Caenorhabditis elegans: one gene and its partner. The protein of the gene in region 2 interacts with the protein of the main gene of each other region in a pairwise test. Each region holds a gene or a part of one and is shown on either strand. Other genes may lie near its edges. The genes, in order: R02F2.5 and F20B10.3.

Region 1 (8,285 bases), on a different chromosome or scaffold from region 2:
CAAGTGCTCTCAAAGACGCAATCGGAGCGCACTCGCAAAAACCTGAGGAAAACATAGAAAAACCAATTGCTCTCGCACTTATTAGTAATTTTTTAACGCTTTGAAACATATAAAGTATTAATCTTCAGGCGACAACAAGGCCGCGCAAGACCTTCTCAACAAAATTCAAGCCAGTCGGCGCCCGCAAGCGATTTTGGAGGCAACTTTGAAGATCTGTAAGGAGAAGGTACTGAAAATAGTGATAGAGATGAAATAATAAATTAGTTTAATTCAGAAATCCGAAGCGCACGTTGATGAAGCGTTTCTTTCAATTTTCCGCAAACATTTCTCGATTCTCGGTGTGGATTCTGCCTTGGCATGCTGGAAATTGATCGAAGAACATCTCAATTCTTCAGAATCAATGTAATTTAAAAATTTCTGAATTTGAAATTGCAAAATGTAATTTTTAGAAACGAAATCAGAATTGCTAACGAGTTCATCAGTACCTCTAATCTTCTTGGCCATGGTTTCGGAAAACTTCTGCAAAACATGAAGCAAGGAATTCCTGTGGTAATTCAGAATACGTGGAGACAAGAACGTAAAGGTAACTATATAAATATTAAGAACTTAAATTCAATTTAAAAATTTCAGCGGACGCCTTAGCTCTTGCCTATCCCTTCCTAAGCCTCCTCCTAGCTGATCAGGTATATGGAGACCATCAAAATCTTGAATCTTTGGCAGAATTCTGGAAAAATCAAGTTTTACCGGAGAAATCCATGAAAAAAGATTTTGGAATGAGAATGGTCAGTGCTTTAGCCGGCGGTGAGCCTGGACAGTTGCCAGAAACGAAAATCGACGAGAATCAACTTGAAATGGTGAGAAATATCTTGTTTTATTTAAAAGTTTTATTTTAATTTTCAGCTCTCAAAGATCTACGAAAATCATCTGGAATTCTACACTGGAATTCTCTCAGAATCCACGTGCTCTCAGCTTCTTGCCAAAGTAATTGAGGATAATTTAGCCAAAAATGAGGTAAAAATTTGAAATTTTCAGACGATTTTATTTTTTAAAATTTCAGCTAAAGCAACTTGCCCGTCGATGCCAAACTGCTGAAGTATGCATGTCCCCGTGCATTTACTACGCGATGATTTCAGTTTTACGGAGCACTTTTGACCTCAACGATTCGGAGCTCATTTTCATCGAAAACTTGAAAACGTTGAAGTATGGTGAAAGTTTGATAGAAAATTATATAATTTTCATTGAAAAATAGCGAAAAATCAGTTGAAACCAATCAATTAATCTCGATTTTAAATTAAAAATCAGTCTGGATTTTTTTAAATTAACCTTTATTTTTTTTTTCAGACTAAAAGAAATCACAAAGCATCTCCCTTCAATCATCAATTCCTGCTCCAACACTCGCCAAATTACCGCTAGCAAGAAGCTTAAAAATCTCGAAAATCTTCAGGATTTCCTTCACAATGTCACAGAAAAACCGGAAAACGACAATTTCTCGGCTGCTTTTGCCCTTCTTTCAATCAATATTTCACTAATCTTCGATAACTGGAACTTTTGCGAGAAAATCCTGAAAACTCTACCGAAGGACGTTCTGGAAAAGCTGATAAAAGCAGGAAAGGGATCTGAAAATGAGAATATTTTGAAGGTTTTCAAGAAAGTGGCTCAGGAAGCTGCTCCAGTCAAATTTGTGAATAGAACCGCCGCGGATGTCGCTGAGAAGCTCCGAGAGCCGGAATTTGCAGTGGCAGAAGCCTTAAGCTTGCTCCAAGGAGTTCATACAGCGGAGACGAAAAAGGAAGTCTTTGGTAATCATTTTTAATTACAACTATTAAAAAAAATAATTTCTTTTACCCAAGTTTTTTGCAGATTCTGTTGTAAAATTCGTCGAAGAGATTCCTGGAGCCGAGAGCATTGACGAGATGAAGCTTTTCAAGTTGATAATTGAAATGTATGGTGGAAGTCAACTGGAATCATTAGCTGTTCAAGTAGTGTTTTCACGAATTGCTGCCGACGGTTGGACTGAAATGGATCGGGCTCCGGGAACCGAGAAATCTGATGAATCATGGTTTACAGTACTTGTGGAGACGATTGATCTGCTTGATATAGCAATGAAATCGGCGAAGAATTCAGTGCTAAAATCATTCACTGCACTTTTCTGTCAACTTTTTAGCCAAGTTTTGAAGAATTCTCAAAAATTCGTGAGGAATAGTCTGAACGCGGTCGCGTCGCGTACACTTTCGCCTGAAATGGAAACTGAATTTGTGCTCCGCCGTCATAAATTGAGTCAGGATTTGGCAAGATTAGTAGATGCAATGAAGAGGAATGAATCGTATTTTGCAATGGTAAGATTTTGAACATTTTAGAAAAAATTTAATATTCTTGAAAACTCGAAATAAATAAAAAATCAAAAACTGGGAGTTTTTCGATGGTTAAACTATTTTTGAAAAAAATTTTTAAAAAAGTATTTTAATTTGAAAAATTGTTTTTTGAACATCGTCCATTTGTCGATAATTAAAAAAATTTATACGAATTTTAATATTAAAAAAATCGTGAACACTATTTTTTGAGTCGTTTGTCTAATGGGGTTATTCAAGTAATGTAGCAAAATGCATTTAAATACATTTGTGACGTCACAAATGTATTTAAATACATGTTTTTATCTACTTGAATAAGGTTGTGACGTAATTTTTCTACACTTTTTAATTTTCCGACACTACTTGAATAACCCCATAACAAATTACATAAATTTTTTTCTAGTTTTTAAATATTGAAAAAAAAGAAGAAAAATTGTAGAAGTTGGAGAAGAGTTTTAAAAAACATTTAAAATTAAAGTTCTTTTTTGAAAACCCATTTTAAAACGTTTTATCTTTTTTTTCAGGATTGTCAAATTGATAAAAATGAGAACTAGTATTTCTTGAGAAATTTCCCTTTTTTTTAAAGAAGAAAATAGACATTTTAATTTTAAATAATCTGTAATAATCACTATTTCTTCTCGAACTCGATTTTTTTTAAAAATTCTGTCAACTTATTAATTTTCGAAATTAGGGGGAGCTTGTTGAGTATGTTTTGGTAAAAGTTACCAAGAAAAACGACTAAATTGAAATTTTAAAAAAACCTTCAATTATTCTCAAAAACGGTCTAAATTTTTATTCTTCAGCTGACTGCATCAATCATTGGAGACGCAGTATTCTATGGATCAGACAGTCTACTTGCCATGTCAAAACTACATTCACTGGCCGATAAAAATGCATCCGCGTTGCTCGCCACGAATCTTCCAGTTGTTGAGAGAACCCGATACAAGAAGTTCCTTTCTACGATCACGAGGGCTTCGAAGCGAATTTATTAATTGTTTTTTTTGTTATAATATCCATTTTTATGTTGTTGATTGTTCATCTTGTTCTGTTGATTTTTAAGTGTTCAATTAAAAAATTTATTCCAAAAAAACACAAAAGAGTTCAAAAAAGTCAATAGAATCCGCATCCATAACCACCATATCCTCCATACCCGAAATCAAAACCTCCGTATCCATATCCTCCATAAAATCCATTATAATATGGGTCGAACATAACACCACCTCCATAATATGGATAAGGGCTCATGATCACTGGCGGCGGAGCCATGACAACTGGAGCCACCGGAGCAGCACCCATGACCATTGGTTGGGATCCATAGACCACGGGAGCAGCTTGTTGTTGTTGAGGGTAAGCTTGAGCAGGTGCAGCCGGAGTTGCCTGGGGAGCTGCCTGAGGAGCTGGTGTAGGTGCCGGGACTGGGGCTCGCGGAGCAGACTTTCTCTTCTCCACTTCCTTTTCAACCTCTTTCTCCGTTTGGTCGATGCAAGTAAAAAGCTCTGGATCTTCAGGCGTTGGTGATGGCTCCGCAACTCTCTCCGGTGGTTCTGCAATCGTTACTCTCCTATTTTTGGGCTCCACGACTTTCTCAGGAGCTTTCGGTGCTGCTGGAGGTGCGTAGGCCGGTGGAGGTCCCTGTGGGATCCCTTGAGGCTGCTGTCGAGGGTATGCCTGAAAAATCGATATTTTCTTTTATTGATTTTCGGAAAATTATCGATTTTCCCTACCATTTGCTCTGTCGAGGCGTTTGGAGATGGTTGAGTGTGCTGACGATTCTGAAAAGTTGAGGTACAAGGAGGAGTTCTTGAGCTTGACTTCAAGGCGACCTTCGTCTGCCTTGTGTCTATTCAGTTTTTTTTATGGAACCCGGAACAGGGATTATAGGCAGGCACGGTCACCTCATATGAAACTTGGAGACTTACCATTTGGTCCGAGCGTTGGTTGTTCCGTTGATTATTTCTAGCTTTCTTCGATTGACAGCATCCCATTTTTCATCGATATATTTGAGTTCTTTTGATTATAAAGTAAGTTGGGAATAAAATTTTTTAGCGGCAAGTTTGAACATTTGAAAAATAAATCATTTCCAAAAAAATAACTGCAAGGCGTTCACGCAGAAATGGAAGCGGCCGACACTTTCCTTTTTCTAATGCCAGCAGTCGACACTTCCCGTGGATAAATTTTGGTGGATCAATTTGCCAGTTTCGGACCGATTAACTAATTTTTAGAAAACAATCTCAGACTATTTTTATTGCAAAAAAAGGATCAATTATCAATTATTTCTTATCGGAAATATTTTCAAGTCACTTCATCTTCTTCTTACTTTTCATTTGACATCTCGATTAAAACATAAACGGATCACAATAGAATGGATCACCGTAGTACATTCCACCTCCATAACATGGATAAGGATCCACAATGACCACTGGCGGAGGAGCAGCCACTACGACTTGCTGTTGCGGTGGATAGTATGGCTGTTGAGCCCCATACGCAGGAGGCGGTTGTGGCTGGTACGGGAGACCTGGAGACGGTTGTTGACGTTGAGGTTGTGGAGGCTTCTGTCCATTGGGAGGTGGAGCTTGTTGCTGCTGCTGCTGTCGAGGTGGAGGTGGAGGTTGATTCCTATTCTGAGGTTGATTCTGGGCAGGATAGGGGCCTGATTGGGTTCCGGTTTGATTCTGAAAATATAGTTTTTGAGACGAGGAATCTCTAAAAATGAATGCTGTCGAGATTGTAAAAGGTGTGCAAAACTATAGTGACTCTACAGTAACCAGGTAATAAACCTGCGCCAACCGTACCCCTAACAACACGTAGTACTTTGGTTTCAAAAGAGTTCGCAGCGAAAGCTGATGCAAGCTTAAGCGTACAAGTACAGTATTACTACAGTAACACTGTAATTACAACGATGAGCTACCGTAATCTTGCAATAAACCTATGAAACCCGCTACCGTACCACTACAGTAAACCAATCGAAACTTGGTTCTGCAGAGCGTAATCCTACAGTACCTACCATTTGTTGTCCATTTCGATTTGAATTCCTACTATTCTGCTTGTTTTTTGAACCGCAGCATCCCATTTTCTCACGGCTTTCAGAAATGAATTTCTTTGAGTTTGAAATTGATTTTTGGAAAGTTTTACACGTAAATGTTAAACTTTTCGACTTTTTAAATTATTTTTTTCCAGATTTTTATTATTATTATTTAGGCACGAATGAAGTTCAATTTGAGACAGCTAACATTCACGAAAATAGGGGTTAACAAGGAAGGCGCGAAGGCAAACACAGGTAGGCACGAGGGAGTGAGATAGGCGGATAGGCTTGTAGGCTCAAAATGGTGTATGGACCTGAAAATGTTGATAATAACGCTGATAAAAACGTTGATAAAAACGATAGAATTGTACTGTAGTTTTTATTGAATATCATCAATTCGTAGAAATCTCGGTATATCACCAATACATACACATACACCTATATATATAAATGAATAAATAAATGCAGCGGTATGCACACCCGTTCGGTAAGCAATCCAAGTAGTTCATCCGGTATTAAATGTGGGAGAAGGTAGGGTACCATGAAAGAAGCTTAAACTCTCATTCGGAACCCGTCGTTGTTTTCTTCTTCTTCTTCTTGATTATTGTCAGCTCCCTCAGCTTCTGGTTCATCGGGCTCACAAGTTGTCGTTGGTTCCTCAGTTGTTGTAGATGTTGTGGTGGATTCCGTTGTTGTAGTCGGAGCCTCGTAGTTCTTTGGCATGTAGCAGAGCCCTTGGTAGCAGGCTGGAGCATTTGCTGGGCAGTTGGAGCATTTTCCATTGTCACCGGAAGCCCAGGTGAAAGCTGGCATCTGGAATAAGGAGTTCAGTGAAAATTAATATTTAATTTTTGGTAAAATAAGAACTGAGTTCCAATTTTTTAATGAAAATCAGCAATACCAAAAGTTGTCAACTAAGAAAATTGCTCAAATTGAGTTTCAAATCATCTAGCAAATTTGAAGGGGGTCACTTTTGAACAGCTATATCTCCTTGAAAATCATAAGTTTCAAAACAATTTAAAAAAGGGGAAATCTTTTTACAAGAAAAAGTTTATACTGTTATACTGTTTTCTGCGGACTCTAGGTCCTTCTGCAAAAATACGAAAACTTGAAAATATTTAACGAAAATAGAAAACTATTAATTTTGAAACTGTATCATTCAAACGGTTAGAAATGGTTAGAAATGGAAAACATCTTGAAGATGTCCTTATTCAAACGATGACTTGCGGAGCTTGTAAATATTAAATAATTGGCAATTGGCAATTTATTCAAACATTTTTTGACTAACATTTACCAGTTGACAATTTTTGAGAACTCTTACTTTTACAAAGTTAAGGCGTTTGAAGATTTCGAACAAAAATTTAACATTTTCAAACTCGGAACTGCTGGATATCAGCAGAGAACAGTCAGATCAAAACATTGTCAACTAAAATGTTTTTTAAAAATATTTTGAGATCTACAATGTTTAAGTTAGAAATTGTTTGATCTTCCCGCAGTTTCATCAAAATTGAATTTTAAAAGTTGTTAACTGCTACATTTGCCAATAATGCATTTAATAACTCTTACTTTGACCAAGTTACAATTTTTCAATTTTTAACAATTATTTTTTAAACCCTTGCTTTTTAGCGGAGAGTGGTCGGATCAAAATATTGTCAACGGACAAAATGTGATAATTTGTACATTTCACCAATTGACAATTTCAATCAACAACCTTCAGCAAAGCCAAAGGAGACACCAGCCCACAAGAAACCAAATTCACTGCACTCAAATTAGGCGAAAGCAACGGTTAGCAAGAAACTCAAAATAACATAAGTGAGGGAGACAAGGACGTACGAACCGCATAAAGCTGTCCTCTCGCAGTGACGAATACCGTATTTCCCTGTGGATTGTAGTGACAGACGAATACGTTACGATGTCCACGTCCCCAGACACCCTGAACGTCACGGCAACGGGAGAAGCCGCATCCGACGAGATTCGTCTTTGCCCAGACAACCTAAATTAGTTGATTTTATTTAATTTGTACACTTAGAAAAAGGGATTAATAGAACCTGAACATAGTGACCGCAACAGTGTTTATAGGCATGGTTACATCCACATCTTGGATTATGGACCTACAAAAGATTGATGGTAATTATGGAAGATGCAAGGAAAATAGAAAAATATTTGAAATTACCTCGTTGAACCAGATCGAGATAGCGTCAGAATAGTTACTGTACGGCGCCGCCCAGATGTTTTCGCCGACGTTGATGCGTCCACGGGAGTGACGGAAATCACAGGTGTCCGCGTGGCGTTGAGCTGAAGCGGCCAGCTCATCGGACCAGTAGAGCATGTTCATGTCGGAGGCAGGCACCTGGAAGAACCGGAAAATTTAGTGCCGGATCCTTATAGAGCGTGGCTTTAAAAAAATTACCACCAAAGCATAGCATAGTTTAAGTAACACCAGTCACACGGTCATGAACACCAACCTCTCACAGAGATTTTAATACTTGTTCTAAAGTTTCAATTTTTCTCTTATCAAGTCTACGTGCCCGTGATCAGAATACAAAGATCTTTTCCTTTTTTCTAATAAATATTATCAAATAGAATAATTAGGAGAAGAACGAGATTGTCTAGAAGGTTATTGATAGCGAATATTTTTCAAAAATTCTCGCGTAAACATTTGAACTTTCACGTCCATGCGCCCCAATATTGGTGGCCTAGAAATTTCAAGTGGAAGAAGGAGTGACGTCATACATCAAAAACTTTGTGTTGTTATACATCTCAATAACTGTATTTGGAAAATGGGATAACGGCGTGATAACTTCATACATTTAAACTTCAGTCAAATATGTCTGAACCCCTATTAGATATAGAACTTCCTTAATCTGTTTCCAATTACAAGGTAAGATTTTATCTAGATGTATATACTATTTCAA
Region 2 (8,269 bases):
ATTGGGAAGCTGATTCAACCGGAATGTTTCTTAAAGTCGATGGACAACGGAAATCCGTCAAAACCTCATTTATTCTTCCAACAGTTTACATGTGGATTGTTGGATCACGAACTGAAAAAGGATCGACTGGATTTGCTGGAGTCATTCGAAATGTGCATCTTTGTGGTGTCGAGTTAGCATTAGGACAGTATGCGAGGAAAGAAACTGAACGAGGTAAAAATAATTTTGTTGGAAATTAACTCATTGAGAAGGTTCAGGAGTCGCAATCGGTGACGATGGATACTGTAGACCGGATCTCTGTCAGAATGGAGGTCAATGTGTTGACAAGTACGATGGATACGTGTGCGACTGTAGTATGACACCATTCGGTGGAAGTGATTGTACAAAAGAATATGGAATGATGGTACCTGCTGGATCGTCTATCCAGATTCCATGGCAGAATCCAGCTCATCAAGCTATGTGCCATCGGATTGCAATTCAGACGACTTCTAGGAATACAACGATTCTGAGGTCAAAAGCATTATTTGCGGACTCAACGTTCAATATGACTGTTGATGATAATGGTTAGTTGCTCTGGAGGTTATTTTTGAAATATTTTTCCTCTGTAAATTTAAATAAAATTAAATAAATTGATATGAAAAAAAGCCATTCACTTTGCCGTAACATGTCAAATTTTGGAAACTGTGAAGTAACACCTGTTTTCTACTGGCATTTCTTGAAACATTTTATGAGAAATCATAGAACTGGGACGTCACAGAACTGCGCAAAAAATTAATCGCAAATTCTGAAAACCGACAGACCAAATAAACGTTATCTATAAAATTGTCTTTATTTCAGGAAACCTACAAATGATGGCTTACGATGGATTCTTTTTCCATTTCAAGAGACAATCAAAACGACATAATCTGAGTGATGATATAATGCATGACATCTCATTTTGTGCTTCGAAACATCATTTCAATGTATCAGTTGATGGGATGCAAGTGATTACGATTGAAGGAAATTGGACATTTTTCGAAAGTTTCAATGTTTGGCATTTCCTTGATGAAAGTACGTTGATCTGGTTTTTTGAAATAATTGGAATTAAACATTAAATTTTCAGATTTCGAAGGTTGTGTGTCTCGAATTCAGACCGGATCCGCATTCCCGTTAAAGAATCCAAAAACTGCAAGACTAAACTATTCGGGGAAAATTCGATTTGGAACATGCCCAATAGAAGCTGTGTAAGTGGTCCTATATTATCTATTATAGTGCTATTAGGGCCTTATAATCATACATTTGCAGTCTTATTTCTCACCTAAAAATTACAATTTTCAGATCTCGTCAACAAATGTACGATTTCAACCCGCAACCAGACCTAATCTCCTCCACAATAAAAACATCGACGGAGGATATCAAAATATTTTCCGTTTCCCAAAATAAACAAGATCTAGTGTCAAAAGCAAGTGAGTTCAAATTTATTAACTTTAAAAATAAATCCAATTTTTAAAAAATTGCAGTAATTGGAGGTGGTATCTTGGCACTTTCTCTATTCATACTGTGTATGAGTTCATTGATTTGTTACATGAGGTCTCGACCAGAAGGTGTCTATAAAACTAATGAGACAGGTAAATAGAATTTGTAAATTTTCCATTTTACAAATGTATCTTTTCCAGGTGAAAACTGTTCTCCAAGTCGAAGTGAAGAGCCTTTAGTACATAATACAACTAGCAATAATAATAATAATCCAACATATGCTTCCAACAAAGAGTATTTCTGCTGAAATTTCTGAAACTTGCCACTTAAATTTTTCGTTCGGGTCTTGATTCTCACTTTTTCCATAACTTCTCTTCAGTTTTTTACAAATTGTCTTTCGTCTGATGATTCTTGAAACGGGTTATTTTTATCTGTTGAATAAATGATTTGAATTTTAATTATGTTACTTTTTTTTAGAAATTTCTGAAAAAACCACTAATTTCTTTTTGCGAATAAAAATTTGCATTTGACACTAGACTGACGGAGGTTTAGAAATTTCCCATTTTTATGTATTGACTGTATATGAATATCAAGACTTCACTGGTTTTAAAAATTTTTAAAACTGAGAATTATGGAAAATATGGAATATCAAGACTTCACTGGTTTTCAAAATTTTTAAAACCGAGAATTATGGAAAATATGGAATATCAAGACTTCACTGGTTTTCAAAATTTTTAAAACTGAGAATTATGGAAAATATGGAATATCAAGACTTCACTGGTTTTCAATATTTTTAAAACCGAGAATTATGGAAAATATGGAATATCAAGACTTCACTGGTTTTCAAAATTTTTAAAACTGAGAATTATGGAAAATATGGAATATCAAGACTTCACTGGTTTTCAAAATTTTTAAAACTGAGAATTATGGAGAATATGGAATATCAAGACTTCACTGGTTTTCAAAATTTTTAAAACTGAGAATTATGGAAAATATGGAATATCAAGACTTCACTGGTTTTCAAAATTTTTAAAACCGAGAATTATGGAGAATATGGAATATCAAGACTTCACTGGTTTTCAATATTTTTAAAACTGAGAATTATGGAGAATATGGAATATCAAGACTTCACTGGTTTTCAAAATTTTTAAAACCGAGAATTATGGAGAATATGGAATATCAAGACTTCACTGGTTTTCAAAATTTTTAAAACCGAGAATTATGGAGAATATGGAATATCAAGACTTCACTGGTTTTCAATATTTTTAAAACTGAGAATTATGGAAAATATGGAATATCAAGACTTCACTGGTTTTCAAAATTTTTAAAACCGAGAATTATGGAGAATATGGAATATCAAGACTTCACTGGTTTTCAAAATTTTTAAAACCGAGAATTATGGAGAATATGGAATATTAAGACTTCACTGGTTTTCAAAATTTTTAAAACTGAGAATTATGGAGAATATGGAATATCAAGACTTCACTGGTTTTCAAAATTTTTAAAACCGAGAATTATGGAGAATATGGAATATCAAGACTTCACTGGTTTTCAAAATTTTTAAAACCGAGAATTATGGAGAATATGGAATATCAAGACTTCACTGGTTTTCAATATTTTTAAAACTGAGAATTATGGAGAATATGGAATATCAAGACTTCACTGGTTTTCAAAATTTTTAAAACCGAGAATTATGGAGAATATGGAATATCAAGACTTCACTGGTTTTCAAAATTTTTAAAACCGAGAATTATGGAAAATATGGAATATCAAGACTTCACTGGTTTTCAAAATTTTTAAAACCGAGAATTATGGAGAATATGGAATATCAAGACTTCACTGGTTTTCAAAATTTTTAAAACCGAGAATTATGGAGAATATGGAATATTAAGACTTCACTGGTTTTCAAAATTTTTAAAACTGAGAATTATGGAAAATATGGATTATCAAGACTTCACTGGTTTTCAAAATTTTTAAAACTGAGAATTATGGAGAATTTTTTTATCTGCGAAAAGGTTTAAAAAAAATTGTGGAATTTTGTATTCTTTTCTAACATATTTTCAAACACTTATTAACTTTTTATTTTAAAACTCTCATAAATTATGTAAAGAAAACCAACAATGAGATATGAATGTGAAAGAGATTTCAATAATTACAAACAAGTAGTGATGACATTGAGCTGAAAGGAGATTACTTTCCAGAGTTGAATACTGGGTTCCCATCTTGATAACTGCTTGGCACACGAATTGGAGCACGAATTGCCATTCCGTTCTTGTAGATTGTATCTGGAACAGCAACATTTCCTCCGGCATTGATGTTTCCGTTATTTCTGTTTCCGATGATGATTGGTCGTGGTCCGAAGAAATGACGACGACGTGGGAACATGAATCGTGGACCACACGAGTTTCCGAAGCATGGTGGTTGAGCGAAAATGAATCTTGGAGCTCCGCATGGTGGGGAGAAGCATCCGTTGTTCGAGTTGGAATAAGATGGAACACGGATCACCTTGATTGGTGCAGTGTTTGAAGAGATGGTTCGGATTGGGATAGGCATTGGGGTCGTGGTCTGAAAACTGAAAAGTACAATGAGTTGGAAGTTTTGTTTGGGATACCGTGTAGATCGAGGCATCAAAAACTGGAACAACATTGGCAGATCCAGCGACAGGTCCATTGCAGTTGCCAGTAGAGCATGCGGAAGCCTGTTGAGTGACTCCGCAGTTTCCAGTAGAGCACGGAGAAGCTTGAACTGGCTGAACTGAGCCACAATTTCCAGAAGCACATGGGCTCAAGGTCGGCGTGGGCTGACAGTTACCGGTAGAACACGGAGTTTGTTGAACCTTCAGGAAAGATAGAACAATTTTAAAAATGAAAGGTAAATTCAAAGTACCTGTGGTGGCTGTTCGGATTGGAAAACAATGCGAAGTTTGAGTGGTCCAGCGTTCGGATCCAGACTGATTTGTTTTGATTGAGTTGTAGTTTGTGCAGAAGTCAATGCAAACAACAAAGCAATAAGGGCAAAACGACGAGTCATTTTTTTCTAAAAAATAAATATGCAAAGCTCTTCAAAAACTAGAAAATTTGGAAAATGTTTTTAAAAAAATTGAAAATGAGTAAAAGAAGTGTGTACCTGTCACTCTCTGTTCCATGCTTCTTTTATAGTCTGGCACATAAGAAAACGCCACGTCGAGTAAGTTGCGTGTGCCCGCCTTCTCAATTCCTTGTTTGTTTCCATGAGCTCCTCCTCTCCGCTGATTTACGCGAGAGGCGCCGCGCGCGCGGAAAAAGAGAGAGACAAGGCACTGACAATTTTAAAAGACAATATGACATTTGCTGTGGACTACAAAGTACGGTTCAATTTTGCAATTGTTTTATTTTTTCTTGAGAGAACCTTTGGAGCTTGGGTGCTCATGGAAAAAAAAGGTTGCCTGCTAGCGTGCCTATAGGCGTACCTAGCCTAAGCTCACTGTACCGACAAAGTTTTTCATCAAACCTTGTAATAGTAATAGTTAATCCTACTTTGTAGGCAGACATGTACGAATTTTTGTGCCTACATCAAAACAATATTTAAGATGTGTTCACCTTTTCAAAAGTTTTCGTTTCTTTAAAATATAAGTCTTCCCCGTAGGTATATAAAGTAAAGAAAGCCTATCTGCATGCCTACTAGACATGACTAACTTGCCTTAAAAGTGACACTTACCTTTTTAAGTAGGCATGTTTTGTAGTCACGTTACATGCCTAATTGGAAATTTAATTGTAATATTTGGTATATTATTTACCAGAAACAGTAAATATTTTTTTATAAAATGTTTTATAAATAAAACAAAGCTTATAAAATCTGTGACCTATTCGGTTAGAGAATTGTAAAAAGTAATGTTATGCGTAGCAAGGTAGGCATTTTCAAAGCAAGTTACGCTTGACTTCTACATTTTTTTTTTGAAAAAAAGCATCTGGACTTTCTTCAAATATGTTTGTCAACTTTTGAAGTTTCAGGGTAACCCCATCATTTTGCCACATATTTGTTTTGTTTTCTTTCAGGTAATTGCTCTTTTGCTCTCAATTTTTTCTCATTTTTTTCCAGTTTTTCATCATGTTCTCACCTTGAGTACACTAATTGTTCCAATAAATTTAAAGAGGACACACGTTGACTTTTGGTCTCAAAGTAAATATTACCGGGGCCGGCCGTTGTCTCGATGGATTCGAAGATGAGCTCGCACACGTAGTACTCCGGTCGTCGAAAAAAAGTGTGTCTGGAGGAGAGATTGTGCACACTCATTTGCAAACATGCACAAATACACACACAAAACAGGACAGGTCAGTTTGGCGTGGGAGCAGGAGCAATAGCCGACGCGGAAACAAGACATACGCAGTACTTTGAAGTGATTTTAACATTGAAATCATAATGTCTAAAGTTGAGGTTGATGTGTCATCATTAAAGTTTTAATAAGTGACATCAGCGGCAGAAGTTAAACAGGTTCCATGAGCATGTGAACTTTCGAGTGCTATTATAAGAGTATGATTCATTGAGTTGACATTGGGAGATGCTGAACCTGGTACTTTTGAAATGGAGCATAGGAAGAATTTTACTAAATAGTTATATGTCCGTGGACTATAAAATATCTCCAGAATATTTCCCGAAAAATTCAAAATTTACAGCTTCAACTTCAACTTTAACATTCGCCAAAACAGTTCCCAACTTTTCAAATACTTTTTGCCAGTTTCCTCCAGAAAATGGTCACAGTATTTCTGTATAGAAACCGTTTCAGAAGTTGGTGCACACTTCAAGGCTACTTGGTAAACTTTTGAAACTTTTGATCAACCTTGAAAAGTTTTCCACAAATTTTTGCAACTTTTTGGCAACTTTCAACATCTGCATACTATTTTTTGTGCCCACTTCAAGACAACTTCGAAAAGTTTAGAAACTCTTTGGATAACTTTTTCAGCTTTTTAGCAAATTTTTGAAACCTTTGGAAAGACTTGAAAACTTTTTCAAAATCTGTTCCACCGTCTTGGAAAAGTTGGAACATTTTTGAAAACTACTTTGAAAGTTTTAACAAATTTTCAGAAACTTGTGGCAGTTTTGCAAACTTCTATTTTTCACAACTTTTTGAAAAATTTTGGCATTTTCTGGGAAACTTTTGCAACCTTGTCGCTATGGTTAATTAATTTTTGTAAAGCTTTGAAACGTTTAAAAAAGCCTTTGACAATTTATTAAATAGCTTATCGCATGCGAAGCACAGCTTTTTGAAAAACTTCTTGCCGATCTGAAGAAACTTTTTGTCAAACTTGAAAATATTTAGAAACTTCTTGCCAGCTTCTATTGATCAAAAATGTTCCCATGATGACGGAATCTGATATCAAAAACATTCCAACAACGTATGTGTTTGCTCTTTTTCCCCTGAAGTACCTGAAAAAGGCGTGGGTGAATTTATCGGCATTCTCGATAAGAATCACATCGTTCGAAAAGTGACCGAAACACGTTTTCAATGATCTCCCCCTATCATTTGAGCAGACAAACACAACAAATCATCATCATTGCTTATTTCTTCTCGGAGATTCCGTGTGTTTTAGTCTAATCAAATGACAAAACGGGAGACTTTACTTTGCGAATTTGGAATTCGGAAGAAAGATTGGCACAGCACAAAGACAGTTTGCACCTTTCCGAGACCAAGGAAATGAGAGCAAAGAACATGAGTGATAAGACCGGAAACATTTTTGGAGGGATTCACACCAATTGTTGCGACGAGGAGAGAAGACAGAGAGAATGCAAATATTAGAACAAATTTGAAAAAGCATGACGCACATTTCCCTTAACTTTTTATCTCACTTGAAATGACAAATATTGTTCTGGAAACTGTTTATTTAATAGTTTTACATGCAATTTGTTGTTCTGTTTTAGATGCATTTTATCAACGTAACAAATTCAAAATTGTGACGACTTACAGCAAAATAACCCAAAAAAATTAAGGTAGTTCAAAATCAAAAATGGTAAAAGCAAAGAACTGTAGAGAGTTCAAAGCCAAAGGTTGTTAAATCAAAATTGTGACAATTTTAAAACTGTAACCTTTAAAGTGTTTGGACGCTATTAATTAAAACCTAATTAAAATATCAAGCTCGTAGGTTGCGAATAAAAACTTTAGAATTTTGTTTTAAAATGTATTATAAAAATTGACTCTGATTCCTTGGCAGCTGCTTCACATTCTTAGGTGTATGTACATGAGTTTGCCCTGAAGTTGTATGCTCGGCATTGACTCCAGCTTCTTGTCTAAGTTTGGCCCGAAAACTTTTGTTAAACTTAGATGTAGGCTGCGACAGTTTAACACAAGTTTGGCCCAACTCTTGTCAAACTTTGGCCGGAACTTTTCTTGCTTTATATTAAACGTGCGTTAAAGTTTGGCAAGAGTTGGGCCAAACTTGGGTGAAATTTTTGTCGCAGCCAAAGTCTTGTCCAATTTTTTCCCAAGTTTAGCCAACTTCTGAACCAAATTAATATTTTTCTGACCAACCTTGGGCAGGAAGCTGGAGCCAAATGCCGAGTGTATTTGGAACGGTTTGCACTAATTTTACAATTTTCAACAACGATCTGTTCTTGGAAAGGCTTTCAAGTTATTCTTCAAAATTGGAACAACTTTCAGCAGTATATTAAAAATTTACTCCAAATTCCAAAAAAAAAATGCAAGTTTCAAAAATTATTATCGTCAACCACAAACACCCAAATTTGTTAAAATTTCACAGATTCACTCATTCATTTCTGAATATTTTTATAAACAAAAAAATCGGCACTCACCGTTCAAAATTCAATTGAAATTCCGGTTTTA

What was found.
Region 1: the proteins of F20B10.3 (region 2) and R02F2.5 interact in a two-hybrid assay, tested with the Caenorhabditis elegans proteins (2 studies listed by BioGRID).

The regions. Positions count from the first base shown.
Region 1 is NC_003281.10:5,475,452-5,483,736, reverse strand, and holds R02F2.5 (Prion-like-(Q/N-rich)-domain-bearing protein), read right to left. Parts: upstream 4,420-8,285; 5' UTR 4,334-4,419; coding exon 4,268-4,333; intron 4,121-4,267; coding exon 4,073-4,120; intron 4,017-4,072; coding exon 3,459-4,016; 3' UTR 3,409-3,458; downstream 1-3,408. Other genes in the region: R02F2.7 (Myb-binding protein 1A-like protein), read left to right, coding at 1-84, 129-226, 275-402, 450-583, 631-854, 901-1,011, 1,058-1,200, 1,342-1,799 and 2 more; R02F2.6 (uncharacterized protein), read left to right, coding at 4,813-5,055; R02F2.10 (Prion-like-(Q/N-rich)-domain-bearing protein), read right to left, coding at 4,685-5,020, 5,353-5,418; Protein lon-1, read right to left, coding at 5,923-6,183, 7,208-7,363, 7,419-7,481, 7,544-7,720.
Region 2 is NC_003282.8:12,164,466-12,172,734, reverse strand, and holds F20B10.3 (CC domain-containing protein), read right to left. Parts: upstream 4,492-8,269; 5' UTR 4,486-4,491; coding exon 4,342-4,485; intron 4,292-4,341; coding exon 4,067-4,291; intron 4,021-4,066; coding exon 3,646-4,020; 3' UTR 3,519-3,645; downstream 1-3,518. Other genes in the region: nlr-1 (Neurexin like receptor 1), read left to right, coding at 1-213, 258-563, 838-1,050, 1,103-1,223, 1,318-1,445, 1,500-1,607, 1,656-1,762.